Tamandua tetradactyla: one gene and its partner. The protein of the gene in region 2 interacts with the protein of the main gene of each other region in a biochemical or structural test. Links are inferred from orthologs where the notes say so. Each region holds a gene or a part of one and is shown on either strand. Other genes may lie near its edges.

Evidence for each region. The genes of interacting proteins can lie anywhere in the genome.
Region 1: the proteins of MAP3K7 (region 2) and USP29 form a complex in vitro, tested with the Homo sapiens proteins (2 studies listed by BioGRID). The link is inferred for Tamandua tetradactyla from reciprocal best matches to the Homo sapiens genes MAP3K7 and USP29.

The regions. Positions count from the first base shown.
Region 1 is NC_135342.1:2,040,177-2,047,902, reverse strand, and holds USP29 (ubiquitin carboxyl-terminal hydrolase 29), read left to right. Parts: upstream 1-4,446; coding exon 4,447-7,074; downstream 7,075-7,726.
Region 2 is NC_135331.1:147,859,795-147,867,829, forward strand, and holds the start of MAP3K7 (mitogen-activated protein kinase kinase kinase 7), read right to left. Parts: upstream 3,109-8,035; 5' UTR 2,887-3,108; coding exon 2,767-2,886; exon of another isoform or gene 2,745-2,766; intron 1-2,744. UniProt on the Homo sapiens protein: Serine/threonine kinase which acts as an essential component of the MAP kinase signal transduction pathway. Plays an important role in the cascades of cellular responses evoked by changes in the environment.

The DNA.
Region 1 (7,726 bases), on a different chromosome or scaffold from region 2:
TTTTTTGCCTGGGTAGACACTGGGAATCAAACCCAGGTCTCTGGCATGGCGGGCGAGAATTCTGCAACTGAGCCACCGTTGCACCTCCCTTCTTTTTTTTTTTTTTTTTTTTTTTAGAGGGAGGAAGGGAAGGAAAGACAGAGAGAAGGAAGGAAGGATGGAAGGAAGGAAGGAAGAAAGGGAAACATTTTCTTGTTTTATTGTATTTTGTTTGTTTGTTTGTTTTTTACATGGGCTGGGGCCGGGAATCGAACCGAGGTCCTCCGGCATGGCAGGCAAGCACTTTGCCCGCTGAGCCACCGCGGCCCGCCCTCCCTTCTTTTTTAATACAGGCATTCATGACAATAAATTTCCCTTTCAGCCCAGCCTTTGACACATTCTATAAGTTCTGATATGTTGTGTTCCTATTTTCATTCATCTGCAGATAGCTACTGATTTCTCTAGAAATTTCTTCTTTGACACACTCATTGTTGAAGAGTATGTTATTTAATCTCCACATATTTGTGAAATTTGTTGTTCTTTGGTGGTTATTGATTTCCAGCTTCACTCCATTATGATCAGAGTAAGTGCTGTGAATAATTTCACTGTTTTTAAATTTATAAATACCTGTTTTGTGTCCCAGCATATGATTTATCCTGGAGAATGTTCCATGCCTACCAGAGATGACTAAGTCTAACTCATTTATCAAATTGTTTAAGTTCTCTGTTTCCTTGTTGATCCTCTATCTGGTTGTTCTGCTTATAGAGGAGAGTGGTATATTGAAGTCTCCTACTATTATTGTTGAAATATCTACCTTTCCCTTCAGTTTTGCCATTGTATGTCTCATGTACTTTGGAGCTCCTTGATTAGTGGCATAGACATTTATGATTGTTATATTTTCTTAGTTGTGTCCCTTTTACTAATATATAATGTCCTTCTTTGTCTCTTATGATGTCTTTACATTTTAAGCCTATTTTGTCCATTATTAGTATAGCTACTTCTGCTTTCTTTTGGTTGCAGCTTGCATGGAACATTTTTTCCCTCCTTTCATTTTCATTCTATTTGTATCCTTGTGTCTAGATGAGTCTCTTGTAAACAGCATATGGCTGGATTGTATTTCTTAATCCATTCTGCCACTCTGTATCTAATTGGTAGGTTTAGTTCATTAACATTCAAAGTTACTTCTGTAAAGGCAGTTCTTGAATCTACCCTCTTTTCCTTTGGATTTTATTAGAGCTCTATGTTCTTTCCCCTCTTTCTCTTTTTATCCTTTAGGTTATCCTTGCTGGTACACTTCAATTCTATGCCCTCCTCCAGACCTCTCTCTCCCTTTTTTTATTCAGGCAGAACTCCCTTTAGTATTTCTTGTAGAGCTAATCTCTTGTTGACATAATCTCTTATTAAACTAAAGCCTTAGTTTGTCTGTGAAAATTTTCATCTCTCCCTCACTTTTTTTTTGCAATTATTTTCAATATTTTATCAAAAAAATCTTGTAAATTATATCTTCCTCAGTTTTGAAAGACAATTTGGCTGATAAGAATTCTTGACTGAACGTCTTTCTCTTTCAGGATCTTAAAAATATCATATCACTGCCTTCTTGCCTCCATAGTGCCAGTTGAGTAGTCTGAACTCAGTCTTATGTGGTTTCCCTTGTATGTAGTAGATTCTTTTTCTCTTGATGCTTTCAGGATTTTCTGCTTCTCTTCAACATTTGACAGACTGATTACTATGTGTCTTGGGGTATGCCTATTTGGATTTATTCTATTTAGAATTTGTTGGGCTCTTTGATTTGTATATTTATGTCTTTTATAAAGGTTGGGAAGGTTTTCCCCAACCTTCTGGGACTTGGATGATTCTTATATTTGTATGCTTTGTTTCATCTGTCATTTCCTTGAGATCCAATTCACATTTTTCATCTTTTTTCTTATTTCCTCTTTGTATGTTCCTTTCTCTAGTTTGCTTACTCTTTCTTCTGCTTTTTCAAATCTGCTGTTGTGTGTCTCTAGTATAGTTCTTTTTATTTGGTCTACAGCATCTTTAATCTCTGTGACATTTGCTATTTTTGTTTATTCTTTCAAATTCCTTTTTATGCTCTTCTCATGTCTTCTTGATCTCTTTTATGTTATTAGCCATCCCACTGATTTTATTTAGTAAACTTATATGAACATCTTCGATTTGTTGTTTCAAAGTCAGTGTCTCCTCTGATGTTTTAATTTCATTTTCAGACTGGGCTGTATCTGTTTGCAACTTCATATGGTTAGTGATCCTCTGTTGTCTTCGTGGCATCTAAATATCTTGATAGGGTTACTTTGGATGTTGATTTCTTTCAGTATTCTAAAGCTTTGTATTTGCGGAACGGGTATGGAGCAGAATGTGGGGCATTGGGAGTGACACAACAGTGCAACGATGGGTTGCGGTGCAGGTATGTGCATGGGCCGGGGACTCTACACTGGTGCCTGTGAATTTGGGTTGAGGGTCACGGAGTTGTGGACGTGCAGTGCAGGAGCCACAGGGGCAAGGTGCAGCTCAAGCACGCCTTGGAGTGCAGGGGCAAGGTGAGGCATGGGGGACACAGAGGCATGTCATGGCAGGAGGTGAACGGGGGTGCTGAGCAGTTATGCTCTGGCTTGTATGTGGGCAGGATGTGGGTGGGCACGTGAAGCATGTGGGTTGTGGGTGTCAGAGTGTGGGGTGCAATGCACAGAATCAGGGTACAGGGAGGTTGGGTGTGGGTGTGTCCTTGCACAGAGGAAGGGGTCCACGAGGGCAGGGACGTGGATGTACGAGTGTGTAGGGGCAAGGAAATGTCACGGAGGTTGGTTGTGGGACATGCATCAGGGGTGGGCGGGGCCCTGGTGCGTTGGGCAGGGCCCTGGTGGGTTGGGCAAGGGTGTGCACGCGGGTGGGGTGCGGGAGCGGTGGAGTGCAGGGGTCAAGAGTCATGCACGGATATGTGGGTGTCCAGCAGGGAGGATGTGGCTGTGCTGCTGCATGGATCTGGGGGCCAGGGCCCTGGTGTGTGCGGGTCCGGGTGGTGGGGCCTTGGTGTGCACCTGTGCAGAGCTCAGGGGCAGTGGGGTGGGATTGGGCCTGTATGGGCTGGGGGCTAGAGTGCCCGGATACACAGGTCAATCTTGTCCAGAACTGAGGCTGCTTGGTGTGAGTGGGCACGAGTGTGTGCACGTGTCTAGGGGACAGGATTCTGATATGCATGTGTGCAAAGCTCAAGGGGAGCCAGGCGGGGTTGAGTGACTGTATGGGCTGGGCTTAGTTGTGGCCTAGGTATGAAGGTGAGTGTCTGCAGCCCGGATGTGCCGGTGATTGCCTGTAGGGGTTAGGGAGGGGAAGGTGGGGGTTGAGGGGCTGGCTGGGGTACACAGGTCTTGGGAGGGGCAGGGCGAGACTGCACTTGCGCAGGAGAGGTGGGTCAGGCTGGGACAGGCTTGGGGGCACGCGCAGGGGTGGGGGAGTGGGGCAGCAGTGTACAGGGAGGGGGGTCCGGGCAGCACAGTGGGGGTCAGGTGACAGCGTTCAGGTGCGTGGGGTGTGGGGCTAGTCACAGGGCAGGGGGAGACACATGTGAGTGTAGCACATTCAAGGAACCCAGCTTGGCTCCCTTCCTTGCCCCCGTCCCTGTCCGTGCACTCCTGACAGCTCCCGCCTGTCAGGAGATGGACGCGCTGGGCTGTTTGCACTCGTTGACTGGTCTATGGTTCTTTGTGTCTCAGTTCTTCTGCTTTTCAACCAGAACCTCCCTAGGTGATGGAGAAGACCCTCCCAGGTCACTTAACACCCTGGAATTGCTCTCCCGGTCTTTTTTCTGTCAATTTTCTAGCTGTTCTTTCGAGCGGTGGCAATTCAACCTATCCTATTCCACCATCTTCTTGGGAGTCTCAGTTACTATTATATACTAATTTTACAGACATTAAAGTGTTTCATGTACTAAGAAATGATGATCATACATCTATGTGATGATATTAAGAATTACTGATTGCATATGTAGAATGGAATGATTTCTAAATGTTGTGTTAGTTAATTTTTTTTAATGAATAAAAAAAAGTGTTTCATGAATTAATAACCTAAACTCTGGGAAGGAGCCACTATTATCTATCCATTCTTCATCTGTCGATACTTACCATTCTGAATAGATCCCAGGGTTCCTTGAAGCATTGCCCATGGGGCACAAATGTCCCTTAATTTCCCGTACATTTGACCCAGTTTTGGACCATCCTTCATCTTTGACTCCTTCTTACAGCTCCCTTGAATGAATACATATTCTGAGTCTATGTTTTCTACAGCAGCATAACTTCAAAATATAAATAAATGCTCACCAAAGGAGTATTTCACCTATGGCATAAAAAGAAAACTAAAAGCAATTTATTATAATGTAGGGTTATTCCATAAACTATCATTGTGAAAGACATATTGTGTGAAAGTGTATGTGTGTGTTCTTTTTCTTTAGGTTACATGGACTTTGTTTGTAAAGAAAGGGTGACTCCTCCAGGGGTGCATGGATTCGTCCAGATTTGGAGCAAAGCGACTGGGATGACCAAGTCAAAAGAAGCATTCGTGAAAATAGTGGACAAAGAGAAGGAAATTAGACTGGTGGTTCACTTCAAGTCTGAACACTTTATAAGGACTTTTCAGTTAAATAACAATATTACAAGTGTTATCCTTAGACATCACAGGGATAAACAAAGCTACCTGCATTTAGCCCTCCAAAACAGCAGTTCCCTGTTTATCAAGAAATTGTCCTTCAGAGATGCTGAAGAGTTGAAGATATTCCTGGACAGAGTCCATCAAAACAAGTTTCAAAAATCCATGAAACTTGATAGTGCCTTTGACAGCAGGATAACACACCAGAAAATCAGCAAAGCTCCAATTCACAAAGTTTGTGACATGCCAACCTTTGGATCGTTTATTACAGAGAAAGGAAGTAGAACACCTGTCCTTCAGGAGATGCCTTCATTAACATCAGAATTGTTGACACTTGACAGGTCGGGGTTATTAGAAAATCAACGTGGGCAGAGGAAAAGAATGATGTCATCTTGTCTAGAGATGAATGACGACTTCCTGAAAGAGTATAACCCCATACTAAAGAAGAAACACAAGACAGATCCCTTGACTTATGTAGGTAGCAATATGAATAGACAGTTTAATGTTAAAGAGCTAAAAGAGAATGGAAAATTAAAATCTGGACCTTCATCAAAGGCCAATTCTGCGGGAAATCCTAATCTAGATGAGACTGCTCCTATTCAGACTCTCTATGCCAAAGGAAGTTTGAAACTTCCACTGGAGCCAAACTGTAGCCTGAATGACCCAGGACAGAATAACCCCCAGGTGCCATTTGACTCTGACCCAGAACAACTTTGGCAAGGCTTCCCCAATTTGGGAAACACCTGCTACATGAATGCAACTTTACAGTCGCTATTTGCAATTCCATCATTTGCCCATGACTTACTCAGTCAAGGGGTTCCATGGGAGAGCGTTCCTTTTGATGCTCTCATCTTGTGCTTGACCCAGCTGCTTGTTTTGAAAGATACTTCTGGCCCAGAGATCAAGAAAGAGTTACTAGTGAATGTTAAAAATTCCATTTCTGCAGTTGCAGAAATATTCTCTAGCAACATGCAAAATGATGCTCATGAGTTTTTGGGCCAGTGTTTGGATCAGCTGAAAGAGGACATGGAAAAATTAAATACTGTGTGGAAGACTGAGAGGGGGCCTGGGGAAGAAAGTTTATTTCCACAGATTTCTGCTGGCGCTGCTGCCACCAAAGTGTTTGTTTGTCCTGTTGTTGCTAACTTTGAGTTTGAGTTGAAGCGCTCCACTGTCTGTAAAGGGTGTAGTCATGTGGTTTTCAAGAGAGAATTAAATAATTATCTCTCCATCGACCTTCCCCAAGGGATGAGACCATTTCCTTGGTCTCTTCAATACTCTTTTGATCTCTTCTTTAAAGCAGAAGAGCTGGAGTATAATTGTGAGAAGTGCAAGCACAGGGATTCTGTGGCAGTGCACAAATTCAGTAGGCTACCCAGGATTCTTATTGTTCATCTGAAACGCTATTTCTTTAACGATGTTTGGTTGCTTGTGAAAAATGACCAGCAAGTTGATATTCCCAAATACTTAAATTTATCTCATTATTATGATGAAAGCACCAAACCACCCCTTTCCTTATACAGAAATGCACGTATTGGAGACTCCCAAGTCCTGAAAGTTTCTCCAGAGACAATTTCTGGGCTAAGATCAGACAAGGAGGCTGAACCACAAAAGTGTCAGGGCTTCTGTGAAGGGTCAATCCAGGAAAAGCAGCAGAGTGACCAGGGACATATTTCTGGATTAAATATAAGAGAATCAGAATTGATAAATTCAGGAAATGGGACAGCCAGTGAAAAGGAGCTGCCAGCAGCTGACTCAGTGATGGGTCAGGTAGACAACTGTCTTTCCCTGATCTGTGAAGCTGGAGGTAAATCCACCGTCAGCCCAGACACAGGACTTATAGAAGTGCCTGAAAATCCTGAACTCAAGAAATCTGTGAAAACCAACTCATTTGTAGAGTTACATTTTGACAGTGCCATTGAGTCTGCTGAAAATTTTTACGCGGATAAAGAAAACAGCTTTCCTGCAGGATCTCAAGGAATGGTTGAAAAGCTCCAGCAGTGTGATGGGGAGAGAACCAGTGAAGAATTCCATCATCAGGCACTACCTCAAAGCCTTAGGAACCTGGATGCCCAGGAACTTACAGAAGAAGACATCATTAGAGCTGCAGAACTAAGTGGGCAGAAGGCTGGCATGAATTCCCTCTGTGTATCAGAAGTTAAAGCCAGGAAACTGAAAGGAGGTGCCACGGTGGGAGATCCTCCTCATGCTTACCAGCTCATCAGTGTCGTCAGCCATATTGGCAGCTCCCCAGATTCAGGCCATTATGTCAGCGATGTATATGACTTTGAGAGGCAGGCCTGGTTCACTTACAGCGATCTATGGGTATCAGAGATCCAAGAGACTATGATACAAAAGGCCAGGCTTTGCAGTGGATACATCTTCTTTTACATGCACAGTGAAATCTTTGAGGAACTACTTGAAAAGTCAAAGAATTGACTGCTTGCAGCACAGAAGCAGGGGTGACCCTTCAGGAATAAGAGCAAGACTACTCCTTGTACAAACATGCTTGGCTGCCCCCTTTAATATCACGCTTTCATCAATAGAAGGAAAATTCTTAATTCTACCGAATGATGAAGAGACAGAAACACTTATTATGGGGTAAAGAGTTGTTGTAACCTTGCTGTGGACATGCTGGTCTCATAGTTCAGGGTGATAAGCATCTTCCTCTCCCACAAGATTAGAACGGGGCCTTTCATGTTCAAATGCAGTTTTCAAATGTTGTTTCTAAACCAGCATTGTAAGCATCACACGGGAGCTCATCAGCACTGCAAATTCTTGGGTCACACCTCATAGTGAGACAGAAACTCTGGGGTAAAAGCCAGCCATCTGATGGAGATTCTTGTACTCAAGACAGTTTTAGAACTATTGCTTCAGTGTGTAGAGTATCTTGTGTATTTTGCTACTGAAAACATGAATTTCTTAGGTAAAGATTTTCTTTTCATTTTTGTGTTCCTTGTATTCATGCATTCCCTTTATGATGGGAAGGGAAGCGGATGAAGTAATGGATGATGACTGTTATTAATAGTACAAAAGTAAAACTGTTCTTTCATGAATCAGAACAAATATATGTCATTATTACAAGGGATTA
Region 2 (8,035 bases):
TACATTAGAAACTAAGGGCCCTGAATACAATGTGACTTGCTCAAAGTTACAAAAATATATTGTGGCAAAATCAGCACAGCCCCTACACTTTCTAAATATCCAGACCAGTATACTTTTCACTACACCACACTGCCTTTACCATATTATGCAACCTAGTCTACAATATACATACCTCACAATTTATTCTAACATTCTCTATACCCAGATCCAGAATGTTAAAATCTAAATGACTACAAGTACCTACGTAGATTTCTGAGGCTGATATATATAATTTTGTTACCAGAATTAGGTTTAAGAAGTGCCCAAGTGTTCCTAATCACAGTATTAGGAATTTAAGGATTAAAATCAGCTGATGATCTTAGAAATCTGTTTCTACAAAATGTGTATCTGGCCTATGATTGAAGCATATATTACACAGTTTCTAATTACATTCACTTAATGTCAATCAGTTATATTGTTATTTGAGAAATATGGAATATGACTTTTTTTTACTTAAAAAGTAATATACCTGTACTGTATAAAATATTGAAAGCAATCCAAAATACTTATTGTTTTTGGTTATCTTTCTCTGCTCTGTTATTCATGATTATAACCTAAAAGCAAAATCTAAGTTGAGAAACAGCCATGAGTGCCCATGGTGCACTATGGATTATATAACAATGTATGCCAAAGATGCAAGCAAAAGAAGAACCTGATGAAATTGTGTCATGGTTTCAATAGCAGAAAGATCCAAATTCACCTTTAATGTGAAAATAAAATGGGTATTAGAAAATGAAAACAAATATCCTAAATCCACCAAACGAAGTTCTAAACATTATTTAAACTGAAAGAAGGGTCATTGGACATGTGGGAAAACTGAAAGAAGGGTCATTGGACACATGGAACCCTAACCAAAAGTGAAAACCTTTGGGGGAAGAACTGCAAAATGATAATGTCTTCTTACTAACTCCAATTCCTCCATGAAGCAAGAAAGCAAAAGCTTTAGAAAACAGTGTGCAAAACTGAGGTTGTTCTAAAAATCAAATGAAGTTAAGACTGTGAAAGCATTGGTAGACCATGAAGTACAAGTTATTATTATATAACAATTTGTAGTCTACAAGCATAGCAGTTTGCCACAGGGTAGACGTAAAGGCTTATTTAAAAACTGCAATTCTTGTATACTGACTCACTGAATTTTTATTTTTAAAAAAGAAAGAATGTTAGTCATGAAAGCTGGATCAACTACCACTTCTGAAAAAGGAATTTATCATAGCCTCAATAGAAGAAAACATGCAAAAAAATTCCCCCTCCCTTTTTTTTTTTCAAGATATGGATCTTCTTTTAGCCATGTGACCTTTAAGCAGGTCACTGTTCCTCTCTGAATCTCAGTTTCCTAATGTTTCAGGCAGTGTGTTGGGTATTTTGCCATAGTGTTTAATTGACTAATAGGATCTGTTATACAAAGTGAGATAGAAATTAACATCTCTATTTTACAGTTAAGGAAACTACAATTCAAAGGGGTTAGTTAGGAAATTATGCTGCCAACCAGGCAGCTAATAAGTGGCATATTTGATATACTGCACCTTATTCTAACTCCAAAGATCCTGTTCTTCCTAGCATATTTCCTTGAAAAATAAAAACAAGGCTGGTCTCAATAATTTCCATGATTACTCCTTGCAACAAAAATATAATCCAATATTCTTCCAAAATCAAATAGGAAAAATATGTATTTATTTGATGACTGTGAATTATATTACACTTTTAGCTCACTGCAATCTAAATTTTAGATTTTTAGAGATAACTTTTCTCGAGTCTATAAGTTTTCAGTAAGACATACTGTGTTCTTCATCGTATATGTAATGCAAAGTGTCTAAAAAATTTAAAAACTGGTAACTTTAATAGATGCCATTTTCATTCAAAGTTTTTAACATGTTTTAAAATGTCTATTCATACTGTTTTATCTTTTCTAAATTTATAGTCCTTATCGCCAATCGCTCATCTGTAAACTTGAAAATAAGCAATGTATTAAAGACAAACTGGAATATCTTCTAAAATAACTAAAATTTTTATAGAATATGAAACGGATTAGGATTTTCCAACCGTGGTTTCCCGACTGGTCTTACATTTTAGTTGTCACCGCGATCTTTAGTTACCGCTTCAGGATACGCTACTTGAAACATCCTTCCATCATAACAGACCAGCCTATGACTAATGGTGAAATTTATCTAAACTAGCCTAACTGAAGGCAGAACATTTGTTAAGATTACGAGTCCTACTCTACGGAATCGACGAAACTGAGAACCATTCGGTACTCTGGAAGACAATGTATTTAGACTCGGCGAGCTATTAATTTAACATTTACCGAGCGCCCACTACCTACCAGGTACGGAGCTTGAAAGCTGAACGTCATACAATCCTTGGCCTTTAGACTAACTGAAACTCCCAAACGGCCACGGTCTTTCTGAATTTACTACTTAGAGAAACCAGAACTGGTGGACCACACTATCTCACCAGTTCACCCTTCTACTTGAGGTGACCCAAATCCGGGCACTGGATTATCAAATCCAAATTTAAGAATGCCGAAGTGAGGAAAAAAGAAATCTACCTCGGAGCAGGTGAGCGCTGCGAGTCCCCCCAACACCCGGTATCTGCAAGGTTGTGGGGACTCCAAGGCGGACCCTGAGGGGCGCCCAGAATCCAAGAGGTCGGGGAGGCGCCTTCAGAGCCGGGACCAGGCAGAGGCGAGGACCGCCCAGGGCCGGTACCTCTTTGCGGGTCCTCGCTCACCTCTTCTACCTCGATCTCCTTGTAGTCGATCTCTTCAAAGTTGAGGACCTGGAAGGGGGTTTCGATCATCTCACCAGCCGAAGACGAGGAGGAGGAGGAGGCGGCGGAGGCTGTAGACATGATCCCTCGCGAAGCCTGGGGAGGCTGCTGCCCGGACACTCCGGGGGAGGCCCGCGCCCACCCGCCTCTGGACTGGCCTTCAGCCTGGAGCCGCGCAGCGCAGCCCAGCCACCCCGCGATCCGTGGCGGGGGCAGGGGCCGCAGCCTCAGCCGTGTCCCGGCTCCAGCTCCGGGTCGGCTGCGCTTTCCGCCACCCGGCCCCGCCCACCACACTTCCGGCTCCGGTCTGAAATCGGAAACAGGCGGAGGGTTGCGGCTGGAAGGCGGGGAGGGGAGAATTTGGGGCCTGGGAAAGAAAAAGGAAGGACAGGTTGCGGGTGGGGCATAAGGGTGAAAGGCTTGCTTGAACTTGTAAAACAAATTTCGCGAGATCTTCGTTAACAGGGACCCAGCAACGGGATGATACCGCGAGAACTCTTGCGCTGACATAATTAAAATGCGCGAACGGAAGTGGCGTGCAGCACGACTGAAGTCGTTGTGGTTGGTCCTTTAAGAAGCAGCGGGAAAGATTAAAACTACGGTTTTGCCTCTGTTTTGGTGAACTTTGTCATGACCTCACTCCGTTTAGTCTGAGCGGCTTGCAAAGAGGTCGGGATAGTATTGAACTGAGTTTTTGTGGCAACCTTACTTTTCAGTTTCAGCCCTAAGGTAAACTGAGCTGTGTTCTTAAGAAACCTCGTAGAATTTGTTTTCCTCAGTGTTTATAAAAGGAAACAGTTGCTGTTCCTTTAAACTCTGAAAGGCCGAGTGTTCACAAACAAGTCAATATTTTGTTCTTACAATATTTTCAGAGATTAGTTAGATAAGGTAGATACTTTAACATAATTTGTTGTGTTCACCTCGTTAGAGACTATATTAATAACACGTCAAGTGCAGAGCACTACCATAGATGCTTTACATTTAACTTAATCAGTAATCGCCTTGCAAATTAAAGATTTTTGTTGCCATTTTCAGTACGTATAGAAAATAAACTCGGGTTAAAACAATTACTGGTCCTCACAAGCTAGTAGAACCTGGACCAGTGTGTCTCAAAGGCTGTTGATTTTGCCTATGTTGTGTTGCCACCGCAATTTTGTTTTAAATTAGCTGCTAAACCTCAGTCAGTTTGACCTGAAGCATAACTGTGGGAAAACTGAACTTGGACATGAAGACTTAAGAATAAATATAGACGGTGGTTGAGGCAGTGGGTTTGAATAATCAACTCACTTATGGACACTGCGTGGAAGAATCACGGATGGAACCCTACGCGTATGTTGTCAAATTCTAAGTCTCAGTAGGAGACTGAAAAGTAGATTGCTATGAAATAGTCTGAATCGGGAAAGTGAGGAGAGCATTTCAATTAAGGAGTAGTCAATCAAATAAATGGGGTACACAAGGAAGTAAAAAACATTTGTGATTGCAAATAGGTCATGGGATATTCTAATCAGGAAGTTAAGAACTTCTGGAAACATTCGTTTTTTATTAGTTCTAGTGACAATGATAGTTGGACGAATGGATAAAAAAATGAAAGAATAATTTCTTCTCACTATAAGCAGTCTCTGAAGGCTCTCACAGAAGGTCTTGTTTTCCCATATGTTTCCATTCTTTTTCTAATGCTCAGATTTTCCCTGAATTTTGGACCTATTGGACATATTTACTTAGAGGTTACATAAACACCTAAACTTTATGATGCCTGAAGCAAATTTAAAATTTCTCCTCCACCAAAAGTATGTCCCTCCCTGTGCATTTCCTATCTCAGGGAAGGGTTTTATCCATTCAGTTGTCCAAGTGAGATAACAGAACATTTCTACACGTGAAATGATAGTGCACTAATAATCAAATAGAAGCAGATTAAATCAATGGGATGATCATTTCTTACCTGTCATTCCTCTCCTTGCATTACCAAACTAGGACTGCCTCTTACTTGTGCTGTTAGTCTGTAGGACAGTCTGTAGGTCCATATCTTATTTGTCTTTGATACTCTGATCAATTGATGCTACAAAGTGGGAACTCAAGAAATGTTTATTATGTTTTCTGAATGAATGAATAGCTTTTGCCAGGCCTCCCTTTCTCTGGAATACAAGATCTGTTTTCTACTCCTTTGTTTAGGAAAGTATCCTGCTGACAACCAACTAATCACTACAGCAACGATGCTGTTCTTCTTGATTTTCTTTCCAATATTTTATGAAAAATTCAAACATATTGAAAAGTTGAAAGAAGTTTACAGTGAACATCTATATACCCACCACCAAGATTCTATTAACGTTTTACTGTACCTGCCTGTTCTAGTTTGCTAGCTGCTGGAATGCAACACACCAGAGATGGATTGGCTTTAAATAAAAGGGGATTTATTTTGTTAGTTCTTCAGAGGAAAGGCAGCTAACTTTCACCTAAAGTTCTTTCTTACGTGGGAAGGCACAGGGTGATCTCTGCTGGCCTTCTCTCCAGGCCTCTGGGTTCCAGCAACTTTCCCTGGGGTTATTCTTTGTGCATCTCCAAAGGCCTGGGTTGAGCTGCGAGTGCTGAGATGAGGTATGCTGAGCTGCTTGGGCTGTGCTATGTTGAGCTGTCTCATTTAAGCACTAGCCAATTAAATCAAACATCATTCATTGCAGCAGGCAGGCCTCCTAGCCAACTACAGATGTAATGAGCAACAGATGAGGTTCACGTACCATTGGCTCATATCCACAGCAGCAGAACTAGGCACCTTCACCTGACCAAGTTGATACCTGAACCTAACTACCACATTGCGTAATCATATATCCATCCATCCATCTATCCGTGTTTTCTGTTGAATGTGTTTCACAGTGAGTATATTGCATAATTTTGATCAGCTGCTCTGATACATCTGCTTCTATATTTTACCTGGTGACTTGAACTTCTGATATTGATATTAGTCTGAAATCAATCCTTGTCCTATTGGCTTGCAGATTGCTTAAGCAGGCAAGTAGGCCCAATAACTGTCAATTCCCCTAGCCCCTCTTTCCCCACTAGTCCTTGTTACTAAATTTTATCATGTGTTTTCATTAAGCCCATCTATTATGTTTTATTCTACATTACAGAAGTTATGTATGTAGTTGAAAAGCCATCTTTAAAAAATTCTATGAATAAATTTTTCTTCATTTTTTTCTTTGTACTTTATGTTGGTGAATTGTATTTGGTGGGTGATACAAAATGTCAGTGTTTTCTCCCCTGGATTTACCCAGGGGAATTTTGAAAATACAGATCCCTTGTGGCTCACCTCCAGAGATTCTCACGTAATTGGTTTTATGTGGGGCTCAGGCATATGCATGTTTTAGAAGTTCCTCTTTTAAGATTCTAAGGTAACTTAAAGGAAGGCACAGATCAGTTTGACTCAAACAGTGAATTTTTGTTAATTTTATATTGCCTAGATGAACTACATGGAAACTTGGGCCTGGATGTCTCTATTCTTGGTCCAGAATATAAAAGCGAAATCCCTTCCTCTATATTAGAATCTAATCCTATATTAGATCCTATATTAGAGAATCTTTATCCAAGGAAAGAGTTCTTATCTTCTTCTTGAGAGTTTGTACTTATTTTGACACCTTAGCTTTTATTTAGTGACAATAGATGAAAAATAACAAAAGGGGGAAACATGGTTTTTTCTTATTATTTGTGCCGTTATTCAGTGGGATCTGTAAATGGTTTCAGATAAAAATGCTTTCAGATATTAGCAAAGGAATAAGAACACTCATGCAGTCAAGTAGTATTTAGAAAAACTATCAGGTTCTTGATCTGGAGAGATTTTTTTTTCTCTTTGTCTGCTTGGCACCTTTTCCTTAGCTTCTGATAGTAGACCATAGCCCACTGTCGACAGTGATAGGCGCCATATATTAGGTTGGACCAATCATTGTACCTGATACACATGCCTCTTGGAATCAGTCCATGTTATGGATTGAATCATATTCCCCACAAAGATATATTCATATCCTAACTGCACATCCTCTGAATATGAACTCATTGTAAATAGGCTCTTAGAAGATGCTATTAAGAGAAACCAAAATGAATCAGCATGAATCCAATATTACTGGAGTCTTTATAAGTAAAGGAAGTTTGGACATAGGAGTAGAGAGATAGATTGCCATGTGATGGAAACAAAGATAAGTTATGGATCATTAGCAAGCCACCACCAGAATACTATACACTTTGGAAAAAGCATGGTCTACCAATACCCTGATTTTAGATTTCTAGCCTCCAAAACTGTGAGACAATAAATTCCTGTTATTTAAGCCAACCAGTCTGTGGTATTTGTTATAGCAACCCTGGCAAACAAAGACAGTCCAAGCATGGTCATGCGATTTAAGGTGGGCCCAGCAGAATTTTTCCCAGAATTTTTCTAACCAGAGCTGTTAGTGAACAGTTCTGTTTGGTGACTGTGACATGCAGTCTGGGAGTTGCTTATGGCCATATTTCTCACTGAGTTAATAAAGCCTGGCCGATTGAGAGAATGAAGTGTACACCCAGTAAGAAGCAGAGATAAAATACAGAGAAAGTTCTGGAAGTAGTTGTGTCTCTGGATCCAGTCACCCCCAGGGTTCATCCACTTCTCCCATTTTGTGATTGGTTGTGTAGACCAGTAAATTCCCATTTTTTACTTACGCTGGTTCAAGTTATATTTTTGTCATTTGCAACCAAAGGATCTTGTGTAATAATACAGCTTGAATCTGGAGAAGTGAGGGAGGGGAATGGAGCCCATCTTAGTTTACCTCAATTTTGACTGTGCAATTCCTTTTAATTCCTTTTTTTTCATGAATTAAAGATGGAATCTGAACATCACAATTTCATCTCAACTTCAGTCACCAGTTCATTGTGTCTCCCCAAATTTCCAGAAATAAACCTCAAGTTGTTTAGATGGTCTCCTTGAAGTCCCTCTCCCCCTGTTTTGAGCACCCTCCACCACCCAGCCCCATATCAGCCCCCTGATAACTACTCTAATCTCCAACTTTGTCTTTAATTTTAATCCTTTTATGTTCTCCAGGGATGAGGGACCAATGGTTTCAAAATCCTTTACTGACAGTATTTTTGGCATGTTCTAAATGGGATTTTATTCTTACTTCAGTCATTTTGGAAATGGAAATATTTGACAAGTGGATTCATAGAGACTTTGCAGAAACTGAGACTAAAATAGCTCCATTTTACTATCCTGTGG